Linked DNA regions of Arabidopsis thaliana. The protein of the gene in region 1 interacts with the protein of each later gene in a pairwise test. Each region holds a gene or a part of one and is shown on either strand. Other genes may lie near its edges.

Region 1 (4,941 bases):
CTAGATATTTAGTTATTTTCATTAAAATTTAACATATTTTTGCAAAGTTTAGCCAAAATTTAGTAAAATTAAACTAATTTTTATTTAAATTGAACAATTTTTTAGTGTTTTCTCCCAAAAATCGAGCCTATCTGAACTGTAGATTTATAAAATCCTAACAAATAATAAATTCTCTTAACCGAATTATCTGAATCCAAATAAATATGAATCGAATCCAAACCGTAATTCCAATGTTTAGGCCTAGATAGTCGTATGTCTTTTTGGCCTAATCAACGCATTCTCATATTTCGAACCGCAGATTAACGTTTAGTTCATGTATAAAATGGTCACATGTGAAGTTGATGTATAAAACGGCTATAATTTAAAAGTTGGAGTATTAAATGACATGTTTTCCATTTCGATTATGGTGAAACGACGTCGTTTGGGAACTAACGAAGACTAGTTAATAGTTGTTATCGGGTCTATTAACGCCAAATAACATCGGGTAGATTTTAGTGTGGTTAATAATTAAGTTTATATGAAATGACCGATCAATAATTTTTACATGTATTAAATACCCATATACGAATTTCACGTATTAAATAACTATATTTTAAAAGTTCGCATATTAAACGAACATTTTTCATCTAAAATATTTCACTTGACAAATATTTTTCGTGTCAATATTTTTCGATCAAAGCATTCTGAAGTAATTGCAATGCTTTGATCTACACACATAAAACTCGTTGACAAATCTCCATTATGTTTTAGAAAATTGAGTCAGCAAAAAGTGCATGAGTTGTAGTTAAAGGTTGATCCGATTATACTACAAAATATAACTTTATTGCTCATCTTATTCTACTCTTAAGTCTATAACTATTAATAATCATGTATAAACCACTGTTATAGGTAACGTCTATAATGTTATAAGCATGGACAAAATATTTGATAGCAATAGTGTACTAAAAAGCTACTCCTAAAAGAGGATTAGGAAATAAAGCATGTGCCAGACATAGTGAATGAGAAAGAAAGAGAGATTTTGTAATAATTGAGAAAATATGAAGCAATCCTTTGCCATGCCTACTTTATCTATAGCTTCCTCACTTCAATTAAATTAAATTATATTTGTAATTAAGCGATTATGTTTATATATATACACATTTATACATTGTTTCTCATTTTACCATTTGATAAAAATATTGATATAAATAAATTGAGATCTTTATATGGCATTATAAATAGGATCGCTCAACTTTGTCTAAGTAGGCAATGAACTTAATAAGAATCATAAAACACCATTATATCATTTGGACCCCTCCATGCTTCCTCCACATGGTTGCTGATCTCAACTAGGAAGATTTCCATAATTGAAACCTGATTTTGTGTATCAAACTAAGAATATTAATGATAAAAACTGTAGTTTAATAACTTTTAACAAAAAAAAAAAAAGCTTAATAGGTTTTATCCTTTTGTGCCATTTACCTAGCTTAAAGCTGCAAGTTAAGTAGTGTTATAAAAATAACCAATATTGATAACCGGTATTATTTGACAAACCAATCAATCATTACAAACTTATTATGTAAAGAATTCTTGAAATGGTTTGTTTTTGTTGTAATTTGGGTATATTATTTTGAGATAAAATTTTAAACTTTACATAATAAGCACCAAGCCTTCTTAGCTCAGTGGTAGAGCGCGTGGCTTTTAACCACGTGGTCGTGGGTTCGATCCCCACAGACGGCGCATATATTTCCTAAATTTTTGTCGAATTATTTTTTTCCAATTTATCCCCGTCGTCTTCTTCGATTCTTTATCTTTTTTTCCTTTGCATAAACCCAAAACCTCAAACTTTTTGAATCCGAAACGAGAAAACAAACTATGTTACAGTCCATTCATCTTCGTTTTTCCTCCACACCATCACCTTCTAAAAGAGAATCTCTCATAATTCCATCGGTTATTTGCTCATTTCCTTTCACCTCTTCTTCGTTCCGTCCAAAGCAAACCCAGAAACTGAAGCGTCTGGTTCAATTTTGCGCTCCTTACGAGGTCGGAGGTGGATACACCGATGAAGAATTGTTCGAAAGATACGGAACTCAGCAAAATCAAACTAATGTCAAAGATAAATTAGATCCAGCTGAGTATGAAGCTTTGCTTAAAGGAGGCGAACAAGTGACTTCCGTTCTTGAAGAAATGATTACCCTCGTATGTATTTTGAGTTATCTTTCATCAAAACTTGCTTTTGTTTCGTTTCTCTAAGCTTGGCATTTCGTCGAACAACTTATAGGCATTAAGCTTTATGTTACATGTAATCGTTACTTACTCGTTAGTACGTATTTCTACGTTTCCATAGAGTTATGTTTTCATCTGGGCTTGCTTTAGTGTTGTTTTTTGTAAGCTAGGCTTTTCGTCGAACAACTTAACGGCGTTAGGCTTAGTAGTTTTTGGGGCATATTGTTCACTTTTTAATACATAGAATCGTTACTTGTTTATTAAGGGAATTATTGGTTCCGTAATGGCTTGATATGTCTCTGATGTGTAGTTGGAAGATATGAAGATGAATGAAGCATCTGAGAATGTTGCTGTAGAATTGGCTGCACAAGGAGTTATAGGGAAAAGGGTTGATGAAATGGAATCAGGGTTTATGATGGCTCTTGATTACATGATCCAACTTGCAGACAAAGACCAAGACGAGAAGGTAAACCAATTCTGCATTTTCCCTCTGAATGTACACAAAAATATTTCTAGAATTGACTTGAGTTTTGCTACATAGAACGACCAGGATAGCTAGAATTGCTTTTGCAATGTAGTGTAGCAAATATTACATGTTCTCTGGATTTTATGGCTGTTGTTAGTCTTGCCATTAGTTCTGTAGCATAAGCTGGGACAAAGGATTAAAGAATTTTTGTTTTGGATTCAGAGAAAGTCTTTACTAGAGGTCGTCAAGGAGACTGTCTTATCTCATCTCACCAAGAAATGCCCTCCTCATGTGAGTAATATTAAGATTAGTTTCTTCTTACTTTCTAAATTTTTCATTAGCTTCATTTCATGTTTTTAATTTTGTGTAAGTGTTGCTCCATATTTAGGTCCAGGTGATTGGTTTACTCTGTAGAACCCCGAAAAAGGAAAGTAGACATGAGCTTCTGCGTAGGGTGGCTGCAGGTGGTGGGGCTTTTGAAAGTGAGAACGGTACTAAACTTCATATACCCGGAGCAAATCTGAATGACATAGCTAATCAAGCTGATGACTTGCTAGAGGTACTTGTGTTTGTTTAAGTATAGATATCAATCTGTATTTGAGATAGTTTGAGAATGTGAACAAGTCTGAGGATTTTTGCAGACTATGGAAACAAGGCCAGCTATTCCGGATCGAAAACTACTAGCGAGGCTTGTTTTGATTAGAGAGGAAGCCCGGAACATGATGGGAGGAGGTATACTTGATGAAAGAAATGACCGAGGTTTCACTACTCTTCCTGAATCAGAGGTTTGTGTGACAAACTATTATGTCCATGATGCTGTGTTTGTGAACATTTTTTAAACATTGAGATACAGTGACTTGTTGCTTGATCGTCAAACAGGTGAATTTCTTAGCCAAATTGGTAGCTTTGAAACCTGGAAAGACTGTGCAGCAGATGATCCAGAATGTAATGCAAGGGAAAGATGAAGGCGCAGATAATCTTAGCAAAGAAGACGATTCTTCTACCGAAGGAAGAAAACCAAGTGGATTAAATGGAAGGGTAAGTATGATCAAGTGACACATTGTTTTGTTAAAAGAGAAGACTTTTTCAGTAGGCTCTGAACCAAAGATATGTCTTCTTTTCTTACTTGGCCTACTTGATGCGATCTCAGGGAAGCGTTACAGGAAGAAAACCGTTACCAGTAAGACCAGGAATGTTTCTAGAAACTGTCACAAAGGTATGTTTCCAACATTCCTCGATCCCCTATGTTCAACAGATGATAGTAATAGAGAACATTGACCACTTTTTTATGTGATGTTTAAATCCAATCTTGATAGGTACTGGGAAGTATATACTCGGGTAATGCCTCCGGGATAACAGCACAACATCTAGAATGGGTAAGTTCCTCATAACACCAAAACATTTGCAACCAAAGTCTCGTTTCTTTGCATTCATCATAGTTTATTTCTGTTCACAGGTTCACCAAAAAACCCTCCAAGTTCTTGAAGAAATCGCTTATTAGTAATATCTTTTGTTACATCAAGAAAGACTCGCAGGTAGAGATTGCGTCCTGAAATAATCTTGATCGGTATATAATTTGTAATTTGGTTGGTTGATATGACATATAATGTCTCTCTACTAAACTATGCACATCCATTAAACCTCAAAAGTTACATGTGACGTAAAATAAAATTGGAAAGGGATAGAAGAAAAAAAAGAATAATGGTAGTGATATTAACATATCTTTAAACCCATTCGAAACGGATGGGAAAAAATAAAATCGTAACTTTTGTCCTATGTGTACCATTCAGAGTTACACAATGATAACAAACTAAAATATTTGATGACACAGTATATAACAAAGATTAAAATATTCGAGTAACCAATTTTAATTGATTTCTTTCCAACGGTTTAATAGAGGAGACATGCGAACGAGACACGAGTCCTATAGGGTAGTAAATGAAAAGTGATTAGTAGGGGCATATTCACGTAAATAAATCAAAAAGTAAGGGTAAAAATCCACGGACGTGAGAGCAATTGTTATATCCATTTGAAATCCTCGTCAGGTTACACGAAACGATTCCGCTTCTCCGCTTCCTTCATAAATATCTCACTCATCGTCTCTAGATTGTTCTTTCACACGCAATTTTCATTTCTCTCTTAACCGTAAACGAATCTCTCTTCTCAAAGTTTTATTTTCTCTCTGCGATGGCTCAAGAAGATGTTACTGCTGTTGCTACTAACGGTGCTGGTCCGGTGGAGACGCATCTTGTCTTCACTGAGTTCAAGCA
Region 2 (7,671 bases), on another chromosome or scaffold:
TTCAATATGCTGTTTAACATCCTGTTTTTTACTAAATGGCTGCGTTGATCTGGTTTTTATATCCAGGCATGGTGTACACAGGCTTCCAAATACAGTGGTGTACTTATTGGTTCCAGGTAGCAATTCTTATTCTTTGCTGCCAGCCACTTAAACTACATTACTGTATATTAGGACTCTCAAAATTAGTTGAATTTTTTTTAGGTCTTTTCAGCAATCATGGACCTCTATATTTTGTGGATACGAAAACGAAATTCTCAAAGATGGGTTTGGCGTGTCATATTGCGAAGATTCACAGCGAGGTAATCATAACTAACTCAACTTAGTACAGTTACATTTGGTGTATAGCATACTAATATATGGAGAAATGTTTATATATCAGTCCTCGGTTGAGAAAAATGCGAGAGAGATAAAGGAATACATAGAGGAACTCTGTTGGGGATCTAATAAGCGGGTTCTACTTCTTGGGCATAGCAAAGGAGGCATAGATGCAGCTGCTGCTTTATCACTATACTGGCCTGAACTAAAGGATAAGGTCGCTGGGTTGGTACTGGCGCAGAGTCCATATGGTGGAAGCCCAATAGCTACAGATATCCTCCGTGAAGGACAACTAGGTGATTACGTCAATTTGAGAAAGATGATGGAGATTCTAATCTCCAAAGTCATAAAGGTTTGCAACATTCCTGATCTAACAAAGTCATTTCAGTTGCATTATATCAGCTTCTTGTGATTGCCTGTTAAAATCCTTAGTTAGGTGGAACCGAGAAACTAGGGATAAACCAAAACTTATTTTGTTTCTGGATTCTATTGCTCTGCTGATCTTTCTGATGAATTCCTTGGAACATTGTGAAGGGTGACATTCAAGCATTGGAAGATTTAACATACGAGAGAAGAAAAGAATTCTTGAAGAATCATCCGCTTCCCCGAGAACTCCCCACGGTTTCATTCCGCACAGAAGCTAGCATTAGCCCAGCGGTTCTATCCACTTTATCACACGTAGCACACGCTGAACTTCCTCTGACAAACCAAGCCGCAAAACTGCCAGTGGTAATGCCACTTGGTGCTGCAATGGCTGCTTGCGCTCAGCTACTTCAAGTCAGATACGGTGAAAAGAGTGACGGGCTAGTGACTTGCTGTGACGCAGAGGTTCCTGGTTCTGTGGTTGTTAGACCCAAACGTAAACTAGACCATGCCTGGATGGTGTACTCTTCCTTGAACGAGGTTCCTTTAGAAGCTGATGCTGCTCAAGTTTGTGAAGCGCTCTTAACTTTGCTTGTCCAAGTTGAGCAAGAGAGGCAACAAAAACTCGCAACAAAAATCGATTGATAAACCAAATTGTTTTATTTCTACTTTCGTCTTGAGACTTCAAATTACTGTATTTGTTTCTATCTTTTTGTTTTATTTCTTACTAATTTACTATCAGGTTTGAATCACACGATAACAAAAAAATTATTACAAACGGTAGATTTTATATTTATAAGACTACTTAATTTGCTTCTTTTTTTTTCTTTTATTGTTGATTAATTTTTATTAGAAGATTAGTTATGTTTTTCTCTCTATTCCTTTAACGAACCGTGATCGTGCGGCTCGGATCGTTGGAGATTCTATGGACGGCCGATGCTTATATACTGTAAGTGGAATATGTAATTCCCGAAAGTGCCCTCCAGATGTTCACAAAATTACGCCATCGTACTCGAATTAACTTCAACTCTCTCTTCTCTCTCTCTTTCTTTTCACTCTTGTTTTTGTTTCTGTGAGTGCTGTGTGTGTTCTCGGTTTGTAATATCTAAGTCGCACAAAGATCAGACAAAGTCTGTTTGCGTTTGATAGCATTAGAGTCTGATCGAATTTGGAAGACCTGTGAGATTAGGGTTTCTTTTTGTTTGTTTTTTTTTATTCCGAAGGAGAGCTGCGGAGCAATTGGAATTACCTCGGTTAAAGCAATCACGTAGCTTTGGATCGTTTAGGGTTTTCTCATTGGGTTTGGGGGATTTGTATTCGAGCTTCCTCAAACTCAATCTGATGGTGATGTGAGACAAGGCTTAATCCTGTTAATTGGCGATTCTAGGGTTTTTCAATGGCGAGCACAGGCGAGCCTGACCGTAAAAGGCGTCACTTTAGCTCCATATCACCTTCTGAAGCTGCAGCCGCCGTAAAGAAACAGCCTTTCTTTTGGCCCTCCTCCGAGGACAAGGTTTCTTTCTTCTTCATCTCCCCCTTGTGCATGCCCTTTACATCTATTCTCTTACTTATCCAATCAATCATAGCTTTCCAGCTATTAGAGATTCATATACTGAATGTCTTTTGTCTCGAATTTGGTCTATTTTGGAATTGGGATTCTCTCTCTTAAGGAGTTTGTTTTCGTTTGATACAGCTTGATACTGCAGTTCTTCAGTTCCAAAATCTTAAGCTATCACAAAAGCTAGAGGCTCAGCAGGTTGAGTGTTCTATTCTTGAGGATAAACTCTCTCAGATCAAGGAAAAACAATTACCATACAACTCCAGTTTGAAGACTGTCCATAAGTCTTGGGAAAAGGTAACACTGAATTTGCTTTCGATTCTAATAGAACTTGGATTAGATCTCTTTTTCTAGAGAACTAATTAATGCTTGTATAGCAGCTTACAGCTTCAGTGGAATCATGCTCTGTTCGTGTGAGTGATTCAAGCAGCGGAGCTCATAGGTTTGTAAACAAGGAGGGTATGAACAACTTAAGCCCGCCTTTTCTTCGTTCTGTTAGTGCTAGGATCTAGTTTAGATTTGGTTTTATATGTTACAAATATGACTTTTTGAAAGGTTAACTTTAAATTGCTACACAGATGGGTCTTCTCCAGCCGTGAAAAACGATTTCATCAACCGGCTACTTGAAACTGGTGCTACTGAGAGCTCCTCATCCAATATCTGCTCGAATCAGATGGAAGAAAATGGAGTGAATACGTCAAGCCAGATGACGCAAACCTTGTATAATCTAGTAGCCGCGACAGAGGATTTGAGGTGTCTGAAGGATGAATTATATCCCACAGTTCTCAGAACCAATCTTGGTAAAGGTATGACTTCCACTGCGATCAATTGTCAGCTCTTGTTATGGCCTTTATAACATTTTAGTATTAACCCAGGTCCTATGTGGAATTGCTTTCTTTTCTAGATTTGTGCGGTCAGCTAGCTCTGAGTGAGTTGGAATCAGAAATTAAAAGTTTCAGAGGGGATCTAGATGATGTACTTGTGAAGTTCAAATCACTTTCTAGAGAATTGCAGAGTCATCGCGATGCTGATGCTAAAGTTAGAGTAGACCTCAAACGAATAAGAGGTAGCTACTTAGTCTCGTCTCACTCGACTATATACTGTTAAAATGGATTTTTTAATTGGCATTGTTTATATGGATATAGTATTCATGCATCAAATGTAAATTTGTAATCATATACGTGGCTTGACAAAAAAAGGTCCTATATACATGAAAAGCTACTGAAATCATATCTCGCTTTTGATTGATGAGGATAAGTGTAAGTAGAGGTGATCAAATTGTGAATCTTCCAATTCCACGCCTGTGTATTTATGTCCAGCACTACTCAGTTGTTTAATAGCCATGATTGGATTTAGATCATAGAGATTAAGATTGAAGAGAGAGATACATTAAGACTGGAAGAAAACCTCTATGGTAGAGCCAGCTGTTAAGAAGACATGTAGCTGTGGAAGATATACTCATTAGCGAACTGATGGGTGTACAAAACCCTTCTGAGACATGAACTTCTTAGTTTTCTTTTATACCATTTACCCATATTTATATATTTCGGTAGATTTTAGGAGATAGAGAAGCTGGTAATTCTTTGAGAATGACATACATCCACATAAGTGAAGCATCTTAATTTTGTTGATAAATTACCCGTTTACCTTAAGATGTAAGATTTCAATACTGACAGTAGCCACAGTTAAGAAATTCAAAGAGTTAAAATTTATTTTAGTTTACATGCCTGCTTTTGGATTAATGCTTCTTGACTACCGCATCAACTGATATTATACTTTATTTGGTCTATTCGAAGGGGAGCTAGAGGATGAGGTTGTGGAGCTTCAGCAGTGTAATGGTGACTTGTCAGCATTGAGAGCAGAAAGGGATGCAACAGCTGGGGCGTTTTTCCCAGTGTTGAGTCTTGGAAATAAGCTTGCTACCAGTGATCGGGAGAGGGATAAACAAAGGGATCTGCAAGACATGGAAACAGTTCTGAAAGAGTTAACGGTATCTTTGTTTTTCTGATTTGTTTTCATTGGTAATTCTTTAAGTTTTGGGTTGATAACGGCCTGGTTTCGGTAGGTCCTGGCTTCAGGCAGGCTACAACAGCTAAAAAATCTTCATGAGGAGAGGACAAAGATGCTTGGAAAAATGAGTAATTTACAGGTCAGTGTATTGATCCAATTGGGGTATTTGTATTAGTTTGTCTCTGTATGGGGTTTGATATATGAAAATTTGTGGAATGGTAGCCTCTTCCTATTGCTAAAACTGATGTAAGAGTTTTCTAACAGAACAAGTCAAAGTCTGTGAGGTGCATCTCATCTTCTCAAGCCTGCCTTTCTTTGAAAGACCAGCTAGAAAAATCCAAAGAAGCAGTTTTCCAGTATATGGCTTTACTTGAGAAACTGCAGGTTATATCTGGTTTGCGATTTTCATTTTGTATCTATGTTTATAAAATTTACGTTGTATATTTAGTTGTGAAGCTTTCCTCCATTCGAAAATTTCAGGTTGAAAAAGATAGTATAGTCTGGAAGGAAAGGGAGATAAATATAAAAAATGAACTAGGTGATGTTTCTCGAAAGACGTCTGCTGTTACTGATTCTAGAATGGCTTCTTTGGATTCGGAGATACAGAAACAACTGGATGAAAAAATGCGAATCAAGACTAGGCTGGGAAATATATCAAGAGAGCGAGGTCACAAATTGATTACTTTGACTTCCAATTCTGTATCTCCCACCCACACCTGTTTCACTTTGGAGTCTGATTAAGTTATTCGTATGTCAGGTAGAAAAGAAATCTTTGCAGATATGAAGGCATTAATTTCTTCGTTCCCCGAGGAAATGAGTTCCATGCGTAGTCAATTAAACAATTATAAAGAGACTGCTGGAGGTATTCATTCTCTGCGGGCTGATGTCCAGTCCCTCTCTGGGGTTCTATGTAGGAAGGTGGGAAATAATGTGAACAGTGATTGATGCTTATTGTTACAGTTTATGTTATGCTTACTTAATAAGCTTAATTGGTGAACAGACAAAAGAGTATGAAGCATTGCAATTGAGATCAGCTGATTATGCTTCTCAGTTAGGTGACCTGAATGCTACGGTATGATGCAATGTATCTACCTTTTTCAGTGTACTGCCCATGACTTATATATGTTGACAGTGTTCATATTGGTTATTGTTACTTTGCATTATTTCTTGGAAAAAGTATAGTGAAAAGGCGGATTAGCAATTTAAATCTTGTTAAATGTCTTTGGTTGGCAAAGTGGTAGTTGTTATGTTCTTTACTTTCAATTGATTGGAGTCTGTCATGCAGGTTTGTGATTTGAAGAACAGTCATGAGGAGTTAAAGTTGTTTCTGGACATGTATAAACGTGAGTCCACTGATGCGAGGTAAGCACAACTATATATAACGATATCTAAGATTTCAATTCTTAGAGAAAAGTTTCCTTATCTTCCCCTTCTCACTGTCCAAATATATAGTATAACAACAAGTGCTGTTATTAATCTTGCCTTCTGACTGAACTATCGAATCTTGCTGAAAGTTTGTTGTTAATTTTTCTTGCGTTTCTGAAGAAACTTATGTTCACATTTTCAATTTATCCATGACAGCTTTTAATATCTGATCTATTTTTACAGTTCCATCTGATAAAAACTCTTTTGGATGTGTTAGGATTTGTTTATCTTCTTATCTTGACTGAACACATTATTATAATGCGGTTGGTATATTGCCTTAAGCATCACTGTCGATAATGTGCTATGGCAGGGACATAGCTGAAGCCAAGGAACAGGAGTACAGGGCTTGGGCTCATGTTCAGAGTTTGAAATCATCCCTTGATGAGCAAAATCTGGAGTTGCGCGTTAAGGCAGCAAATGAAGCTGAAGCCGTTTCCCAACAAATGTTGGCTGCTGCGGAAGCAGAGATTGCTGATTTAAGGCAGAAAATGGATGATTGTAAAAGGTAAATAAGTATAAGTAGAAGTCTGCAATTTATAGATGCAATCACGCAGTTCTTCCATAGGAATTCTTTGAGAGTTTTTTGTTTGACAAGGATAAGTCTTTTCTGTTTCAGGGATGTCGCCAAGCATTCTGATATCTTGAAATCTAAACATGAAGAACATGGAACATATCTTTCTGAAATACAGGTTGGCTTATGAAATTTCGTGTTTCTTTGTTCTTAACATATTTTAAAAACCTTGATGTTGCGTATCGATTTACAGTAACTATATTCTTTTAGACAATTGGAAGTGCCTATGAGGACATTGTACCGCAAAACCAACAGCTTTTGCTTCAAGTTACAGAGAGGGATGACTATAACATCAAGGTATCGTGTCCAAACTCTTCTAGTTCCTCTATCTGATCTATCTCTGTGACTTCTCACTTACTCTTATATCTAGTAGTGTTACATTTATTCAGAGATTGATGGATCGTTTTAATGGGCATGGACCAATTTCTGTGGTTATACCTTGTATGTTTTGCTAGAATATCATGAAAAAAAGGATGGTTTGTTACTTGGATCAGACAATGAGATGTAATTTTTTGCTCGCCCATTGTTGTTTCAGCTTTTCTTGGAAGGCATAACTTCTAGGCAGATGCAAGATACTCTGCTTATCGATAAATACATCATGGATAAGGATATACAGCAAGGCAGTGCATATGCCAGTTTCCTATCCAAGAAATCATCAAGAATTGAAGATCAGGTATATCTGTGTGTGCCCGTATGCTCAAATTGTAAGCCTCCTTATTGTGAGACTTTGACTAAGGTGTTTTTCTTTTTCCTTGCAGTTGAGGTTCTGCACAGATCAGTTTCAGAAACTAGCGGAAGATAAATATCAAAAGTCTGTTTCTCTTGAAAATCTGCAAAAGAAACGTGCAGACATCGGGAATGGCTTGGAACAAGCTAGGTCAAGGCTGGAGGAGTCCCATTCTAAAGTTGAGCAAAGTCGGCTGGATTATGGGGCATTAGAACTGGAACTGGAGATTGAAAGGTAAATCAATTGCTCCCTCCATCTTCTCTATCCTAATTAATAGTCATAAACAAGTGTTAGTGATGAAGGTATCGTTCTTTTCTGCGTATATCAGGTTCAATAGGAGAAGGATAGAGGAGGAAATGGAAATAGCCAAAAAGAAAGTTTCTCGTCTTCGGTCTCTCATAGAAGGATCATCGGCCATTCAAAAGCTCCGACAAGAACTCAGTGAATTTAAAGAAATTCTGAAGTGTAAGGCCTGCAACGATCGCCCAAAAGAGGTAAAGAGTCACTGCTCTCCATTATTTAGATCTCAGCAAGACGCTCAAATCATGATCCCTTGAATCTTTTAGTCAACTGCGTGCGTGATTGCTGATTGGTTTTGGTCTTTGGCTTAACAAACTAGGTGGTGATTACGAAGTGCTACCATTTGTTCTGCAACCCATGTGTGCAAAAGCTCACAGGAACTCGACAAAAGAAGTGTCCAAC

The links. The genes of interacting proteins can lie anywhere in the genome.
Region 2: the proteins of AT5G48470 (region 1) and HUB1 interact in binary tests that used the Arabidopsis thaliana proteins (3 or more experiments, as listed by UniProt).

What each region holds. Positions count from the first base shown.
Region 1 is NC_003076.8:19,639,956-19,644,896, forward strand, and holds AT5G48470 (uncharacterized protein), read left to right. Parts: upstream 1-1,788; 5' UTR 1,789-1,854; coding exon 1,855-2,178; intron 2,179-2,515; coding exon 2,516-2,671; intron 2,672-2,893; coding exon 2,894-2,962; intron 2,963-3,059; coding exon 3,060-3,230; intron 3,231-3,312; coding exon 3,313-3,456; intron 3,457-3,550; coding exon 3,551-3,709; intron 3,710-3,821; coding exon 3,822-3,887; intron 3,888-3,987; coding exon 3,988-4,047; intron 4,048-4,127; coding exon 4,128-4,172; 3' UTR 4,173-4,407; downstream 4,408-4,941. Other genes in the region: AT5G48480 (Lactoylglutathione lyase / glyoxalase I family protein), read left to right, coding at 4,859-4,941. UniProt on the Arabidopsis thaliana protein: Plays an essential role in early steps of chloroplast development. May be involved in the redox control of plastid gene expression by maintening the redox state around chloroplast nucleoids.
Region 2 is NC_003071.7:18,542,651-18,550,321, reverse strand, and holds the start of HUB1 (histone mono-ubiquitination 1), read left to right. Parts: upstream 1-1,669; 5' UTR 1,670-2,074; coding exon 2,075-2,191; intron 2,192-2,371; coding exon 2,372-2,533; intron 2,534-2,616; coding exon 2,617-2,695; intron 2,696-2,814; coding exon 2,815-3,042; intron 3,043-3,140; coding exon 3,141-3,302; intron 3,303-4,032; coding exon 4,033-4,226; intron 4,227-4,301; coding exon 4,302-4,385; intron 4,386-4,510; coding exon 4,511-4,630; intron 4,631-4,726; coding exon 4,727-4,913; intron 4,914-5,003; coding exon 5,004-5,164; intron 5,165-5,246; coding exon 5,247-5,318; intron 5,319-5,531; coding exon 5,532-5,608; intron 5,609-5,981; coding exon 5,982-6,176; intron 6,177-6,287; coding exon 6,288-6,360; intron 6,361-6,452; coding exon 6,453-6,539; intron 6,540-6,615; coding exon of another isoform or gene 6,616-6,651; exon of another isoform or gene 6,652-6,775; intron 6,776-6,777; coding exon 6,778-6,915; intron 6,916-7,000; coding exon 7,001-7,203; intron 7,204-7,297; coding exon 7,298-7,463; and 2 more. Other genes in the region: AT2G44970 (alpha/beta-Hydrolases superfamily protein), read left to right, coding at 67-116, 202-299, 380-667, 850-1,323. UniProt on the Arabidopsis thaliana protein: E3 ubiquitin-protein ligase that monoubiquitinates H2B to form H2BK143ub1. H2BK143ub1 gives a specific tag for epigenetic transcriptional activation and is also prerequisite for H3K4me and maybe H3K79me.